Lonchura striata: one gene and its partner. The protein of the gene in region 1 interacts with the protein of each later gene in a pairwise test. Links are inferred from orthologs where the notes say so. Each region holds a gene or a part of one and is shown on either strand. Other genes may lie near its edges.

What was found.
Region 2: the proteins of DMRTB1 (region 1) and EXOSC1 interact in a two-hybrid assay, tested with the Homo sapiens proteins (2 studies listed by BioGRID). The link is inferred for Lonchura striata from reciprocal best matches to the Homo sapiens genes DMRTB1 and EXOSC1.

The regions. Positions count from the first base shown.
Region 1 is NC_134611.1:9,254,821-9,261,674, reverse strand, and holds the start of DMRTB1 (doublesex- and mab-3-related transcription factor B1), read left to right. Parts: upstream 1-3,831; coding exon 3,832-4,315; intron 4,316-5,648; coding exon 5,649-5,881; intron 5,882-6,448; coding exon 6,449-6,593; intron 6,594-6,854.
Region 2 is NC_134609.1:18,916,321-18,924,078, reverse strand, and holds EXOSC1 (exosome complex component CSL4), read right to left. Parts: upstream 2,782-7,758; 5' UTR 2,757-2,781; coding exon 2,726-2,756; intron 2,523-2,725; coding exon 2,407-2,522; intron 2,234-2,406; coding exon 2,159-2,233; intron 1,581-2,158; coding exon 1,492-1,580; intron 1,278-1,491; coding exon 1,244-1,277; intron 1,119-1,243; coding exon 1,068-1,118; intron 990-1,067; coding exon 905-989; intron 802-904; coding exon 644-801; 3' UTR 510-643; downstream 1-509. Other genes in the region: palmitoyltransferase ZDHHC16, read left to right, coding at 5,063-5,299, 5,804-5,998, 6,185-6,273, 6,479-6,507, 6,712-6,845, 7,067-7,114, 7,697-7,758. UniProt on the Homo sapiens protein: Non-catalytic component of the RNA exosome complex which has 3'->5' exoribonuclease activity and participates in a multitude of cellular RNA processing and degradation events.

The DNA.
Region 1 (6,854 bases):
CATTATCACTTATTTGAGAAAAGCATCCCTGTGTTTGTGTTTGTGTGTGTGTGTGTACTTATGTCTGTCTCACTCTTTTCCCCTTAATGCATTTTATTTCTTGCTTATATGAAAGGCATATTGATGCCTCTCATATAAGAGCTCTCATAAGAGCTGCTACGTGTTTGGTTTCCTTGCTGGTGTTCATTTCTCTCCAAGTCCACCCCACCCTTCTGGAACTCATGAAATATCCAGATCACAGAATTACCAGTTTAATCAATTTTTTCTTTTCTCTTAAATAAAGATCTTGTTACAATAAACTAACAGCAGTGTTTCTAATAAAGTCTCTGCTGTTAATATTTAAGAACTGTTATATGTAAAAAAGATACTCAATTTTAAGTACTCAAGATTCATTTTAGTTGTGTTTGTTAAAGAAACCAGAAGTGCTTATATAACTTTGATACATTTTTAAGACTTTAAAATATGTATAAACTCCATCCAATTTTCTCTGATCACAGCAGAGAATTTCACCTTTTTGATACAGCAGATGAAAGTCAACATCTAATTGTGCTCTGGTTAAAACTGTTTCAAATAAAACAACAATAAAACCCCACACACCTCAGTGGAACTCCTTCTTGCACTACAGAAGACAACATTTTAAAATAAAGGAATTGATGCTGAAATAGAATTGAAAAGTAAAATCTGTGTATTTCAATTTAGAGAACTTAACTGCAACCAGATTTAAAAAAGGTTTAATCCAAACACATTTCATCCATTTCAAATTTTAAGGTAGCTAGGATATAATTATATTGCACTGTTTCTATGCTGCACTTTCCCTCACATTAAAAAAAAAAACAAAGTTTACTACAGTACAATTTCACTCTGATTAGAAAAGTTGAAAATACAGTGTACAGAAGTGCCTGGAAGAAGTTTATTCATTGTCATGTAGGCTTGTTTTGGGCAGGCTCAGCCAACCTCGTGGGCTTGTCAGCAGGGAGCTGAGCCCTGCAGCTCTGTGGCAGCCCTGATGGATGTGTGCTGCTGTGAGCACAGCAGTGAGAGGGGATTTGGTACTGCAGGTCAGCCAGAGCATGTCTGAAACTCTTTCATATTTTTTTACAAGGAGCTTCTAACTATGAGGATGCTAAATATGTTACTTCTTAAAATGATATTCTGGGACAGGTGAAGGTGAGAGTTCTTCATGGGCAGTTCTGCCTCTGCAGCTGTATCTCCACATGTCGATTATGCCCTAGCTGAGTTGTAAACTACACAGTTATAATGGAGAAGACCTGGTAGTAGTACTACTATATCAATTTTTATATCATAACTTATGACAGTCCATAATGGATACTTCAAAACTACAATGATAAAAAGGTAATTTTTGAATAGAGGATTTAACCTTCATATGTGATGTCTTAAAAATTTGAAAGATAGTCTTGATTTTTTATGTATAAGAAAATGTACTTCAAACCAAGTGTGGAAATATTTATTAATGGAGATCTCAGACTGAACAAATTTCTTGATTAAGTTTCTGTTGCTTGAAATGCCAGAACAATTTTCTTGCCACAGAAAAATTTTCTTGCCAAAAAACATTTATTGTATGAATATTAGCTGGAAAGTCTGAGAAGGAGGGGAAAAAAAATAAACCCTAATTTCCTGCTATTCACTTTTATGACAGTCTTTTGATTTGTTCCCTTTTAGCTAAGTCATTGCTTTTCCTCACTGTTCCATGTACAAAGCAAACTGCACACCAAAACCACACACTTTATATGATTCAGAAGTTGGACAGGACTAGAGATATTATTGCTATTTGTTTCAATAACATAAAGTCAGCAAGTTGCCTTCCTTTCATGTTGGCATGATAATAATTCTTATAAATGTTACTTTAATACACAATTCTTTACACATTTTATGTTCTGCTCCCACCATATGTTACATAAAATGCAAGAGAAAACTAAGTTTTGAAGAGTCTTTATTGGGCCTCATTTTCTTTCAAATATGAACAAGTAAGAAAATTATAATAGACATGAAGCTGCATCCAAACACAAATCTACACTTCATTCCAAAAGTGTATTTAGAAATTGTTCTATCTTCTCTCTGCTATGGTCTTCTTACAGTGTGATTAAGCTAACTCAAATATATATACAAAAACATAACAGGATTGGAGTAACAGAATTCTCTGAACTGCCTGCAAAAACAAGGATTTGCCTCACAAGCAAAGCAAAATGTTCACTTTTCTGCAAAAAGCAAGTGTAGTTATGTTTGAAACAAACTATATGGAGACTATAATAAATCTTGAGTGTTTAGATGAAAGTTGTTCAAAATGAAAATCCACATGACTTTGAAAGCAATTGTTTAATTAGTGAAGAAACTGGAACAGCCCATGGCTGGTAAGCCATTTTAGAAAGAGAAGGGATACATTACTGTGTATTTGAGTAAATGTCTTGAAGAATAGTATTATGTGACTCAGAACAGAAAATTACTGGGGAAAATACATGTAGCCTACCTTTCTCCCCCTCTGCTCAAGTATCCAAATGAACACAGATTGGGTATCTATGAAAAGATATAATTACAGCTTTTTAAAATGTGTCATCCATCCTCTTTCATTCTACAGCTAAATTAGCACAACCCAAGCATACAGTAAAAATATGGAGCATAAAATTAAGAATATTTTATCTGTCTATATGTAATAGAGTCCGTGTTTAGAAGGAGTACGGGAAGATCAAGGCCTTGGCAAAATCCTACTGGAAACCTGCAGGACTTAGGTGCAAAGTCTTACTGGGTCTTCTGCAAAGTGAGAAGCCTGGAATCTCGTCTGAGCTTTGGTGGGCACAGGGGCTGGCTGCTTACTGCAAAAAAGAGACTTGTTGACAAACCACACTGTTGCCAAATCCCTAAGGGGCCTGCTCTGCTGGGGCCTCACCCCCCAAGGTGTTGAAGGGTGCACCAAGGCTATCCGGGATTCTTTGCACCAAGGGAAGGGCTTCTGCCAGGTTTGTGAAACAAACTCCATTGCAGTTAGAATTGTTCCAGAGCAAGCAGATAGATTCTGCCTGGCTCTCTTGAAACTTAGTAGAAAGAGTGTCTACTACTTGGTGATTAATTTTTATCGTGTTCTCTTTAACATAGAAGCTATAGCCACCTTAAGATTTTAAAACAGCTGTTGTATAGGTAAGAAAATTTAGCAGTGTAGTGCCTTACGTTGCAAAATGAGGAGTTTTCTCCTGAAATGGGCTATTGTGTAAATCACGGGTTTGCAGCTACCAGCAGTAACAAATATCAAGTGCTTTCAAAGCAATACTAGAACTGGAGCATTCCTGTATTTCTAACTGTAAGCCTGTCTTTGTTTCCAGAGAATAAGGAATTCTGAGAAAAGGAGACAGGTCGTTGGAATGACATATGCTTTCTACCTTTGTCTTAGTAGCTTCTTTTGGAAAACAGAATGATCAAAGTGTTCTTTTTCTGCTGAGGCAGTCACTCCTCCTCATCAAGAGAAGCATGCTGCAAATTGGAAACAAAACGGGACAGCAGTCCCATGCATATTAAAACCGAATGCATGAGAGGTATGAAAGTGGGTGCAGATGTTAAAGTGCCAAAAAGGAAAATTATCTTTTAGGGCACTACTGTAGGGACATGGCATTTCTATCCGTGCACAGCGGGTCCATCCAAACCCCCCACCCCGGCGGGCAGCAGCGCAGAGCAACGTGCCCCCCGCAGCTCCCGCAGGCTCAGCCCCCCGCGGCTGGGCTTCGGCTGCCGCCCGCACCAAAGGGCCGCGGGGGTGCCCGGGGGAGCCGTGCCAGGCGCAGGGCAGGGAGGCTGCGGGACCCGGCGCGCTCCCCACCCGCTGCCATGGGCCCTCCTGCCCGCCGGGCCCGCTTGTTACATCCCCTGTCCCATATAAAGCCAGAGGGCGGGGAGGGCCTGGCGGGGGGTCTGGGCAGTCGCTGCGGTGCCATGGAGGCGGCCGAGGACAAGGCGAAGGCGCTGCGGGCACCCAAGTGCTCCCGCTGCCGCAACCACGGCTTCGTGGTGCCCGTCAAGGGCCACGCCGGGCACTGTCCCTGGAAGCTGTGCCTGTGCGAGAAGTGCTCGCTCATCACCGAGCGGCAGAAGATTATGGCAGCCCAGAAGGCGCTGAGGCAGCAGGAGACGGAGCCGGCGGTCAGGGCGGGCGCGAAGCCCGTTCCGTCGGGCGAGGGCCGTGGGGCGGCTGCCCGAGAGGACGGGGCCCCCGAGCACTGCAGCCACGAGAGGAAGACGGGCGCCCAGCCCGACAGCGGCGGCAAGGGCACGGCATGCTGGGGGCCACCGCCATCTGCCTTCAGGGAGGACGGTAAGGACCTGTCCCCAGAGCCTTTTCCCAGCATCTCCCGCTGTTCGCTTTCCCCTGTCAAAGGCGCCACTTGTGCATTTCGCTGATTCCTCAGGCTCCGGCTGCCCGGGAGCCGCTCCTGCATTCTGTCCCGCTTTCCCTCCCCGGAGGGCACGGGGCTGGCATGTCGGTTCTGCAGCCTCGTCCGCCCCCGATGGCTTCGCGCGGGGCGCAGGGCGGGAACAACGTGCTCAGCCTCGCCGCCCCTTGCGAGCTCGAAGCTTAAGCAAAGTGGCTTTTCACTGAGAGGGAGATTGATCTGGGAGTGCAGCAAAACTGGATCTGCTCTGCTTGTTTCTTTGAGTGCTGTCACAGTGTTTATAAACTCACAGGCACAAAATTACAGCAGCAAAAATGCTAAAAAGCTCAGTGATGGCATGTAAATAGGTACAGTAACTGCTGCAGCTGTCTGTAGCAAGAATTTCATGCTAGCACTGTAGAAGAAAAAGACCTTTTTGCCTTAATTCATACCTGTAACAAAAACTAAATTTGGTTGGGATAACTTGATGTAAAAGTGCATTTGGTATTTAATAGCAGGGCATGCAGTTGTATGGTCTGTCATCTCTTAAATGGCTTCCTTTAGAGTCTTTATTGTGACTTTTCTAATTTATTATAGTAACTCCATTCTATTACTATAAGAATGTTGCAGAAATTCTTACTGATGGCAGTAGTCATGAATCTGAGACTCTGGAGAGTTGCCAGACTGCAAGACAAAATGTTTGTCCTGAGAAGACTTACTTTGGACATCCGTAGTCCTAAGAGAATACTGTTACCCTTTTTAGCTTTGTTTTGTAATAAAAATAAGATTCAAGAAAAAAAGTGAAGTAACTGATTTCTGCTTCAGATTTGTTTGTGTATGAGCCTAAAACTGTGCGTGCTGTAAATTAACCTAAGAAGTGACAGATAGGACTGCGATATTAGAATGCTATAAAGTTAGAACTCGGCTATTTCTGTGGAATTTTAAGTACCACTAGAATCAAAAGTTTAGGTAGGCTGTTTTGCTCCTGTTGATGTACTGAAAGAATAAGATTCTGCAGCCAGTGCTTTACTAAGGACAAACTTCAAAGCACACAACGCAGAAAATAATGCAGAATAACTGCATTACAGTGTCATCTGCTGTACCTTTCCTTAGTTCATTAAAAAAATCACAAAATCAATTCATGGGGAGCTAAACATGAAACCAAAGGACCAGATTCTCCTGTCTGAGAGTGCAATTTTTTCCTGTAGCTACTTCTACATAACTCCATAAAATAACATGGATAATTTTATTTGTTCTTTTCTCACTGTTTCCTAGCTCAGCCTGCTTTTCCTCCAGAATACACTGTCAACCCAGAATACCTGGAGAGAGAAATCCCAAAAGTGTACCCGGGATGTTCTGGGGTATATCCTTACCACCCATTTCCCCTGGGATTTGCCATCAATGAGTCAAGCAGTGGGGAAGCACCATCACCTCCAGGGATATCACTTCAGAGAGGATTCCGACACATTCCTAGCAGCTATGTGCCAGGGAATGCAACCACTGTATCAGTGAGTAGCATGCTTTTAATTACCTGTGCTAATACTGCTTTATTTTAGCTGCCTTCTCTCTGTTGAAGTAACCATGAAGAGTCATTTCCCTTATCAGTTACTTCATACTATTTTGATACCATTGATACATTGGCAAATGATGATGTTAATAATCTGACCTGCTTTCAGTACAGTTCATCAGTTGATGCTAAGGTAGAAAAAAATCAAGACAATAAACAAAACAAACAAACAAACAAACAAAACAAACAAAAAAACCCAATAGATGCTTGTATTGAAATTCCCTGACACGTTTTAGGGGCTACTGAGAAAGAAGATGGCTGCTCCTGGTTTAAACCAACTACTCCAATGAGTTGCTAGAACAGGTGACAAGGACTTAAAAGGGTCAGTTTTCCTCTGATATGGTCTGAGAAGTTCTTGCTCCTCAGTTGCAGCACAGGCTTTCCATGTGTCAATATGTGCACTGACTTGGCAGCATATGGACAAAAACCCAGAAATGGTCTGATAATGCAGATGTATGCTGGAGAGAGTCTTTAGATACAAAGTGATCTGCTTCATGTGTTTCCACAGGTTCCAGATGGAGCTGGAGATTTCTCTCAAGGATACTACACTCCTCTGCATCAGTTCATCCCACCAGGTTTTCTGACAGGGATTCATTACATCCCAGCTCCGGTTTCACTGAACATCCTGGCTGAAACAACCAAGGAGGTACATGGTAAGAGAGAGTCATGTTAACCTGGTTTCAATATCTGAGAACAGAGATGGAAACCCAAGAGACCCTGATCCCAGCTAGTTTTGACCTCTGTGATTGAAGCCAGGCCTGAAGTCCTGACTGGACTGGGCCAGATTGTAGAGCTCTGGGAAGGGCTGACCTAGGGGAGGCAGCCTGCCATGCTTGGGCTTTCCAGCTGACAAGCACCTCAGTCTGAGGCAGATGCCAAAGGCCCCAGGACTCAGAGCTATGCCAGAAAATGAT
Region 2 (7,758 bases), on another chromosome or scaffold:
AAGGCAGCAATCCCTGCTGGGCACAGACAGGAGGGTGCAGAAGCTGTGCCAGGCTCAAGGAGCAAAGCTCAGCTCTGCAATCTCTGCCCAAGAGGGTGACACCCTGCCATGCTCTGGTTTTTGGTCTGTGTGTACCACACCCTTGTTCCATAGGGCAGGGCAAGCATGTGTGGCCTGAGGAGATGAGATACGTCCCCAGGCTATTCTCAGCCACGGCCCACACTGGTTAGTGGTGAGCTGAGACAGGCTCTGCACCAGGCTTGACTCCTGTGTGGGGAAACCAACCTGGTGAGGAGTGCCCAACACAGCTGCAGCCTGGGGCTCTGTGCTGTTGGCGTCACTGCAGCAAAGTCACTCCATCACTCCCCTTCACCAGCAGTGAAAATGTGCTTCCTTCTGCCCCTGCTGCTGTGGAAGCTGTTCCCTCACCTGCTGTGCTGTGGGAGCCAGACCAGAGTGCATGGATAGCCCTGGCTCCCCCACTTACTGTAAAGAACGAAGCAGGAAGCTCTCAAAAAAAATTTATTATCCACAAGTAGCAAACCCATCCTGCCAGTGGAGGCCTGGCTGAACCTGTGAAGGAGGTGGGAGCCCAGGGGCTGCTCTGGCTCCACAGCCACAGTGCTGCAGCCCCCTGCCCCCCTCAGCTGTTACGTCTGCAGGAACTGGGGCTGCACCCGGGCCACCTTACGGAACTCCTTGGTGTGTGTCCGTGGGCACTGCATCTCACACCAGCTGATGGGCACCATCTGCACCCCTGGGCACGTAATGTCAGACTTGCTCTTTCCCAAAGTTGCATTCCTCCATATGGAGAGGGAGGCAGCTGCATCAGCTGCCCCCAAGGCAGGAATGAGGCAGAACTGTTTCAGCCCAGTCCCTGTCTCTGTCCCTGTCCTGCCCTTACCTGCCTCGCTGCGTGCCACCACCACACCCAGCTCGTTCTCTGCTGTGCTCAGCAGGTAGTTGGACTGTGCATCCCCCAGGGAGATCTGGTTGGACAGGGGTTAAGGGACACACTTCCACAAGGGAGCTTGAGCCAACACGGTGTCCCTGAGGAGGAAGGATACAACTTTGGCCAGGACGATGTCACTGGGGCGGAAGCTCTTGTACACTTCTACCTGCACAGGAGAGAGCAGGCAATGCCACACAGCGCCAGGGTGCTGTCAGTGGGGGGACAGGGCCCCCACAAGCAGGAACTGGAGGGCAATGGGTGTACAACAGCAACTGGCAGTGGCTCACTGACCTTATCCTTCTCTGTGGCTCGGATATCTTCTCTCCTGAAAAAGGAGATGGAGGGATCTGAGTGCCAATGAGCAAAGACAACTCAACCGCCTGTGGCAGAAGCTGCCTCAGCCTTCCTGGGTGCTCACCAGGACGCGCTGGACACCAGCCCAGTGCTCAGGGCAGAGTTCCAGCTCAGGGCAGCCAGCTGCACTGCCCACAACAGCCTTCCTCCCCCTGAAGGGTGGGGAATCCTAACCTTTTCCCTACCGTATGGTGCCCCGGAAGGTGGATTTCAGCGGCGTGGAGCCAACATACAGGATGTGGACCTTGGCAAAGCGAGAGTTAATACTGCAGACCTGCATGTAGGAAAAGGGGAATCAGTGGTCCAGGCAGGGAAAGGGCAGGGAGCAGGCAGGGCTGCATGGGGAGCTCAGGTCTCACTTGGCCTCCTCCTCCCCGCTGTGACCAAGCAACGGTGGGACACCTGGCAGCAAGCCAGGTGAGGATGATTATATTTGTGCAATTCGAGGCACCAGAATAAGGCTGAGACCTGCAGTGATCTCAGTCCCTCTCCCTCCACTAGGAATGTAAGGAAACTAATCCCTGGTCCATGTCATCCTTTCTACAAGCTGCTTGAGGCACTGACCTGCATACTCCCTGTCCCAGGAAGGAGTTATGGAAGGAGAGCAAAGAAAATCCTCCCCTCAAGCCCACCTCAGTCTCAGGGCAGGTGTCCCTCATGCCAATACCCACTTGGTGAGTGAGAAACTCAAGGGAGCCCCTGGGCTGCCCCTGCCCTGGTGGGAGTTGTACAGAAGGCACTAAGAAGCCCAGGGACTCCTCACTCCACCCTATCCGTGTGCAGGAACAAAGCTCAGTATGAGACAGAGTCGAGGCCCATGCAGTTTGTCAACGCAGTGCTCCAGCGCCCCACCTTGCATGTCACCACAGCCCCCACGTTGGGCAGGAGCTGGGACTTGCTGTCTCTCACCACCGACACCACGGGCAGCTGCAGGGCAAGACACGAGCGTCAGCACAGGGCACAGCTTGTGCACAGAACCACCGGCCGAACCCCATCGGAGTCCAACTCCCTGCCGCAGCCCAGTCTCCAGAGAGGCCGTGCAGCCTGGGTGCACAGCACGCAGCCCCGGGGAGGAGCAGCCGTGCCGCGGCCGCGCTCACCTCGTTGTCCTCGTTCTTCCTCTCCAGGCAGCCAGCCAGCGAAGAGAAGATGAAGCCATGGCGAGTGTAGGTCCCGCTGCCAGCCGTGGCCTCCTCCGTGCTGCACAGCCGCTCACCTGCGACACAGCGGCTCAGGGGCTGCCGGGGACCGGCCCGCTCCGGCACAGCTCCCGCTCCCAGCCGGCCGAGTGCGGCGCATCCCCGGGACAAGCCCCTCCGCACTGCCTCGTCCCTACTCCTCTCCTAGCCCACTGCGCTCCCTTTCCGGGCGGTAGCATCCCCAGTCCCGGGAGCCCGGACAGCGCCGGGCCGCACTCACCGGGGACGCAGTACCGCGCGGGCGGCGCCATGCCCGCGGCCGACAACGCTTCACCAGCAAGCCCTCATCCTATTGGTTCTGGACGTCAATTCTGCGCTGTAAGCGTCGCGGCTATTGGTTCTCGCCTAGCCGACCTGAGGCATGCTGGGGGCTGTAGTCCGGCGGCGGCAGACGGAGCTCCCGGCGTGCCGCGCGCGGGCGCTGCCCGTGGGCCGGCGGGGCCCGGGCATGGCGGCGGCGGGCGCGGGCCCAGGTCGGCGGCGCCGGGGCCTTGCGAGGGGCTGCGGGCTTGTCGGGGCTGCGGCTGCCGCGGGGCTGGGCGGCGATACAGAGGGGCTGCGGGGCGAGGAGCGCGGGGGCCGGGAGGCGATGGGGATGCTGCGTGTGCTGTGCGGCCGGAGCCGGGAAGCGGTGCGGTCTGTGGCTGGGGGCAGCGGGGGGATGCTGCGGGCTGTGACGGGGCTGGAGGCGGTGCGGCTGCCGGCGTGGGCAGCCTTTGAGGATGGGGCTAAACACCGGGATGTCCTGGCTCTGGACAGAGAAGTGGGGCTGGATGCTGCTGAAGCGGGGGAGCGGGCGCTGTGCAGCCACCGGAGGGTGCCACAGGGCTGCGCCGGGGGGCCTGGACCTGGCGGGGGAAGGCCTCGCCTTTGCCCGGGGTGGGGCCAAATCCGAGGATCCCCACCCCTCGGTGTGATGTTGCCAGTGCTCCTGTCTGTGCTGGTTGCTGTCCCGTTCCCATGGGCTCGGTGCCGCGCCGTGAGCAGGGCGAGGGGTGGATCCCAGGGCCCGGCTGGGCAGGAGAAAGTTGCGTGGCTCTGCTGGAGCCTCGTGTCTGTGCTTACGCTGCTGTCTTCAGGCAGGTGCCTGGGGACAGCGGGTCTTGCTCTGGAGCGGGCTCCTGCCTCCCCTGTGGGTTCCCTGCCCAGCAGCTGCCGCTGCTGTAGGTGAGGAAGTTTCTCTGTGGGACAGGAAAGTGCTGTGTCTTTGGAGGAAAGGGTTGACCTCAACAGCTGCTTCTGGCTGCTGTGATTTGTCTTTTACCACACTGACAAAACGGGGACGTGTGCCATCCAAAGGCTGAACGGCAGGAAGTTGTTGCTCTATTTTGCACCTGCTGAGCTTCAAGGAAAAGCTCTTGGCATACAAAAGGGGAAATGTGGAGAAGAGGGTGATGCAGATGTTTGCATATCCCACCTCTGCCATACCAGGGCAGGAGCCATGTCTGTGACCTGGAATGGGCTGCTGGGTGTGGGGTCCTCATGTCCAGTAGATCCCAACTTTGGGGTCAACCCCACACTCCTCAGGCCCAGGGTGGAGGAGAGCCCTGGCTTCTTTGGGCAGCCCATGTGGATGGTGCAGTTTCTGCCCTCACCCTCCCTGCTGCTCCCCAGGGGCTGTGTTGGTGGGCACCTCAGCGCAGTGGGACGATCCCTGCTGGAGGCACCCTGAGCTCTGGCACCGGTGCCTGGCACCAGACCAAGGCAAGTGCTTGGCCCAAGCTCAGAACGTGCCTTGGCAGGACCCCGGGGCAGCCTCGCTGCTTAATATTGATGGGTATTGCCTGCACAGAGGCCTGGGGGCCCCAGCCCTGCAGATCGTTTTCCCATGTGCTGGGCCAGATCAGGTTCCTCGTCACTCCCAGCAAAGCTCTCAGGCAGGACAAGGGGCTCAGCGGGCAGGGGAGCACTGGCCCGGGGCTGTCCCTGGGCCTCTCATTTGCTAGTGTGTGGTACTGTTCAATGATTCAGGCAAGGAGAAAGAGGAAATGTTGGGACTCTTGGAGTGAGGCTGTGAGGTTGGGAAGGTGGCCTCTACCAGCTTGGTCCAGAAGTTGAGGTGAAGGGAAGTAGCATCCTTCACTTTAAGGAGGGGCTAGGGGAGGAGGGGTAATCCTGTACTGTCTCCTCCACATTTTCCTTGTGTGGATTCCCCTGTTCATGAACATGTTGGGAAGGGCTGAAATCATCTCTGGAAATGGCCCAGCATCCTGGATGTTCATGCCTTCTCTGGTTTCCTCTGAGTCAGACTCTCCGTGTCGCTCCCCCGGCCCCCTCCCCGCTGGGAAAGACGAGATGGGACCAGAGAGCACCTGAGCCCAGATGCTGAGGGGCCTGTGCCCCCTGCTCCGTGCAAAGAGACATCCCGGCGACAGCGGCCCCGCAGCCTGCAGGAGCCTGGGCTCAGCTTCTCCAGCTCGGCATCCTTGTCGGTTCAGGGAGCTGCACTACCGGCATCAGCACGGCCGGGAGGGGAAGCCCTTCCCGAGGCACAGCCAGGCAGCAGGGTGCCCTGCCCACGCCGAGCTCCTGTCCCCCCAGGCGTGGTGTGGCGGGGATGAGGAGCCGGCAGCGGATGTTCGCCGCGGTGATGCGCCTGCTCCTCAAGTGCCTGCGGCTGGGGCGGCGGCGGCGGTTCAAGCTGGTGCGGCAGGTGGAGCAGCTGTGGCACTACGGGCACCTCTGCCTCCGCTCCCTGCTCTACAACTCCTTCACCAATGGCGACGTGGTGCTTGACTCCCTCTTCGAGCCGGTCTACTGGCTGGTGGACCACGTCACCCGATGGTTTGGTGTGGTGAGTTCCCCTCATGGGGCAGGGTACACGTGGTGCTGGGGCAGCGGGCTCAGGGCTGCCTGTCCTTCGGGCAGGAAGTGAGCTGCAGCCTTAGTGTGCGGTTCAGATTGGTTTCCTCTGGCTCTGTCCTGCCCGTGCCTCTTCCCAGGCAGCAAGGGGCAGGCTCTGCCCACTCCAGTGATATCTCTGTCGAGGCAGGATGGGAATGAATAGACTTGACTCAGAAGGCTGCTGAGAGTAAAACTCCGATTTATTCAAAATACGCTGCTCTTTTATACAGAGCTTCGCAATGATCAAATCCATTGGTTCTGAAGTGAAAACAACCTACAGCATTGGTGCAAAGTGCTTGATGCACAGTGATAGAACTATAAACAGTGTGAAAAACAAGAGAGATAAAGGATTATTTACATTCTTTCCCAGGCTTTTTGCCTGGCCAGAAACTCTCAGTTTCTTTCTTTGACTGAATCTGAGACCCACACAGTGACCCAGGTCCCTTTTCTGTAGGTGTTTGTGGCACTGGTGATTGGGCTGACGAGCTCTATTGTGGCCATCGTGTACATCTGTCTGCTGCCCCTCATCCTGCAGACCTACACACCTGCCTGGATATGCTGGCACCTCGCCTATGGACACTGGAACCTCATCATGATTGTCTTCCACTACTACATGGCTATCACCACTTCACCTGGGCACCCACCACAGGTGAGGCACCAAGTGAGCTATGGATGGTCACTGGGAACAGCCTGATAATGTTGTTGCAGGATGCCTCTAATCTGGGAAGCTAGGCTGGGCAGTGCAGAGTGGGGAGGCAGCGGGGTGGCACAGAGGAGAGCAGGAGTTTGAGATGCAGGGTTTAAGATGTGCAAATCTCTTCTGACCTGTGCACAGGCCAAGAACGACCTCACTGGCGTGTCCATCTGCAGAAAATGCATTGCCCCTAAGCCAGCTCGCACCCATCACTGCAGCATCTGCAACAGGTAGGGCACCTTCCCTCTGCCCAGGGCAGCCTTTGGAACCCTGTTCCTCACCCCCTGCCCCAGTGTGAGACAGGGGCCCTTCTCCTCTGCGCTGCCACCTCCTTGCCCTGTCGCTTGTAGCCTGCAGGGCTGGGGGGTGCCTGTCCCCTCCCAAACACACCACTTGCACTGGCTCTGACACTGGCACTGGTCTCTTCTCTCCCAGGTGTGTGCTGAAGATGGACCACCACTGCCGTATCCTTCTGCAGTACTAACCAGTGGCACACTCCTGGGGGGAGCCAGCATTGCTTCTCCCTTCTCTCCCAGTCCCTTCTGTTGAGGAGACAGCCAGCATAGGAATGGGTGTTGGGAGCAGGGCGCAGAAGAACTGCCCTGGTCCCTGGGTTGGGTTTGGACCCATGGTCTGTCACAGTTATGTACCTTTAACCCCAGAGGCAGCCTGGCTAAACAACTGTGTGGGACACTACAACCACCGCTACTTCTTCTCCTTCTGCTTTTTCATGACCATGGGCTGCATTTACTGCAGCATCAGCGGCTGGGAGATGTTCCGGGATGCCTACGCAGCCATTGAGGTGAGCAGCCTCTCCTGCCATGCGCCAAGACTGCCTGGCTTCCCCAGGCTGAACTTGCAGAGCAAGGCTGGGCCAGGCCCAGCCATATAGTGACTTTGCTTTCCCTCTTCCTCCTCCTGCAAGGCCCCCAGCTGCTATGGTCCTAGGGGGGTGCGAGGGGAAGGGCCCCTGTCCCACTCCTCTGAGACACATAACTGGTGCCCTGTTTTCCATCCCCCTAGAGAATGAAACTGCTTGAGAAGGAGAGACTGCAGGTGGCTGCCAACCAGGTGGGACATCCCTGCCCCCCAGCTTCTCCAGGCAGTGTGGAGCAGAGCTGCCGTGCAGGCTGGGTCCTGCTTGGGGCTCTGTTCTCAAGGAGCACCCTACATCGGAACCAGCCCCTGTGTTCATCTCACATGTCAGAGAGCTGGGGCTGGTCAGGCAGCTCTGCTATGGACAATGCCTCCAGCAGCTTGGGGTCTGCCTCTCTGCACCCAGCTTCCAGGGGCTTGGGTTGGTGACAGCTTCTTGGCATGTGCTGCTCAGGCCATGGTCTCCTGGTGAATCTGCAGCACTGCATACACATCTCTCCATGACCCCCAGCTGCAGTGTCCTGACCAGGCCCATGGCTGCTCCCTGCCCCCTTACCTCCAGCCCCCTGTTCCTCACACCTATGCCAGCTCTGATTGTCTGTCTGTGTCTCATGGCTGTCCCAGGTTGCCTCCCCCTCACTGTGGTTGTTGCATTAGTTCCAGCTGCAATCCTTTCTTGCTGTCCAAGCTCTGCAGCACAGAGTGGCGCAGAAATCCTTGTCTGGCTTCAAGTTGTAAAGAAGTTTGGGTAATCCTCCCCATCTGGTCTTTTTTCAGACATACTACCAGACCCCACCACCCACCTTCTCCTTCCGCCAGAGAGCTTTCCACAAGAGCGT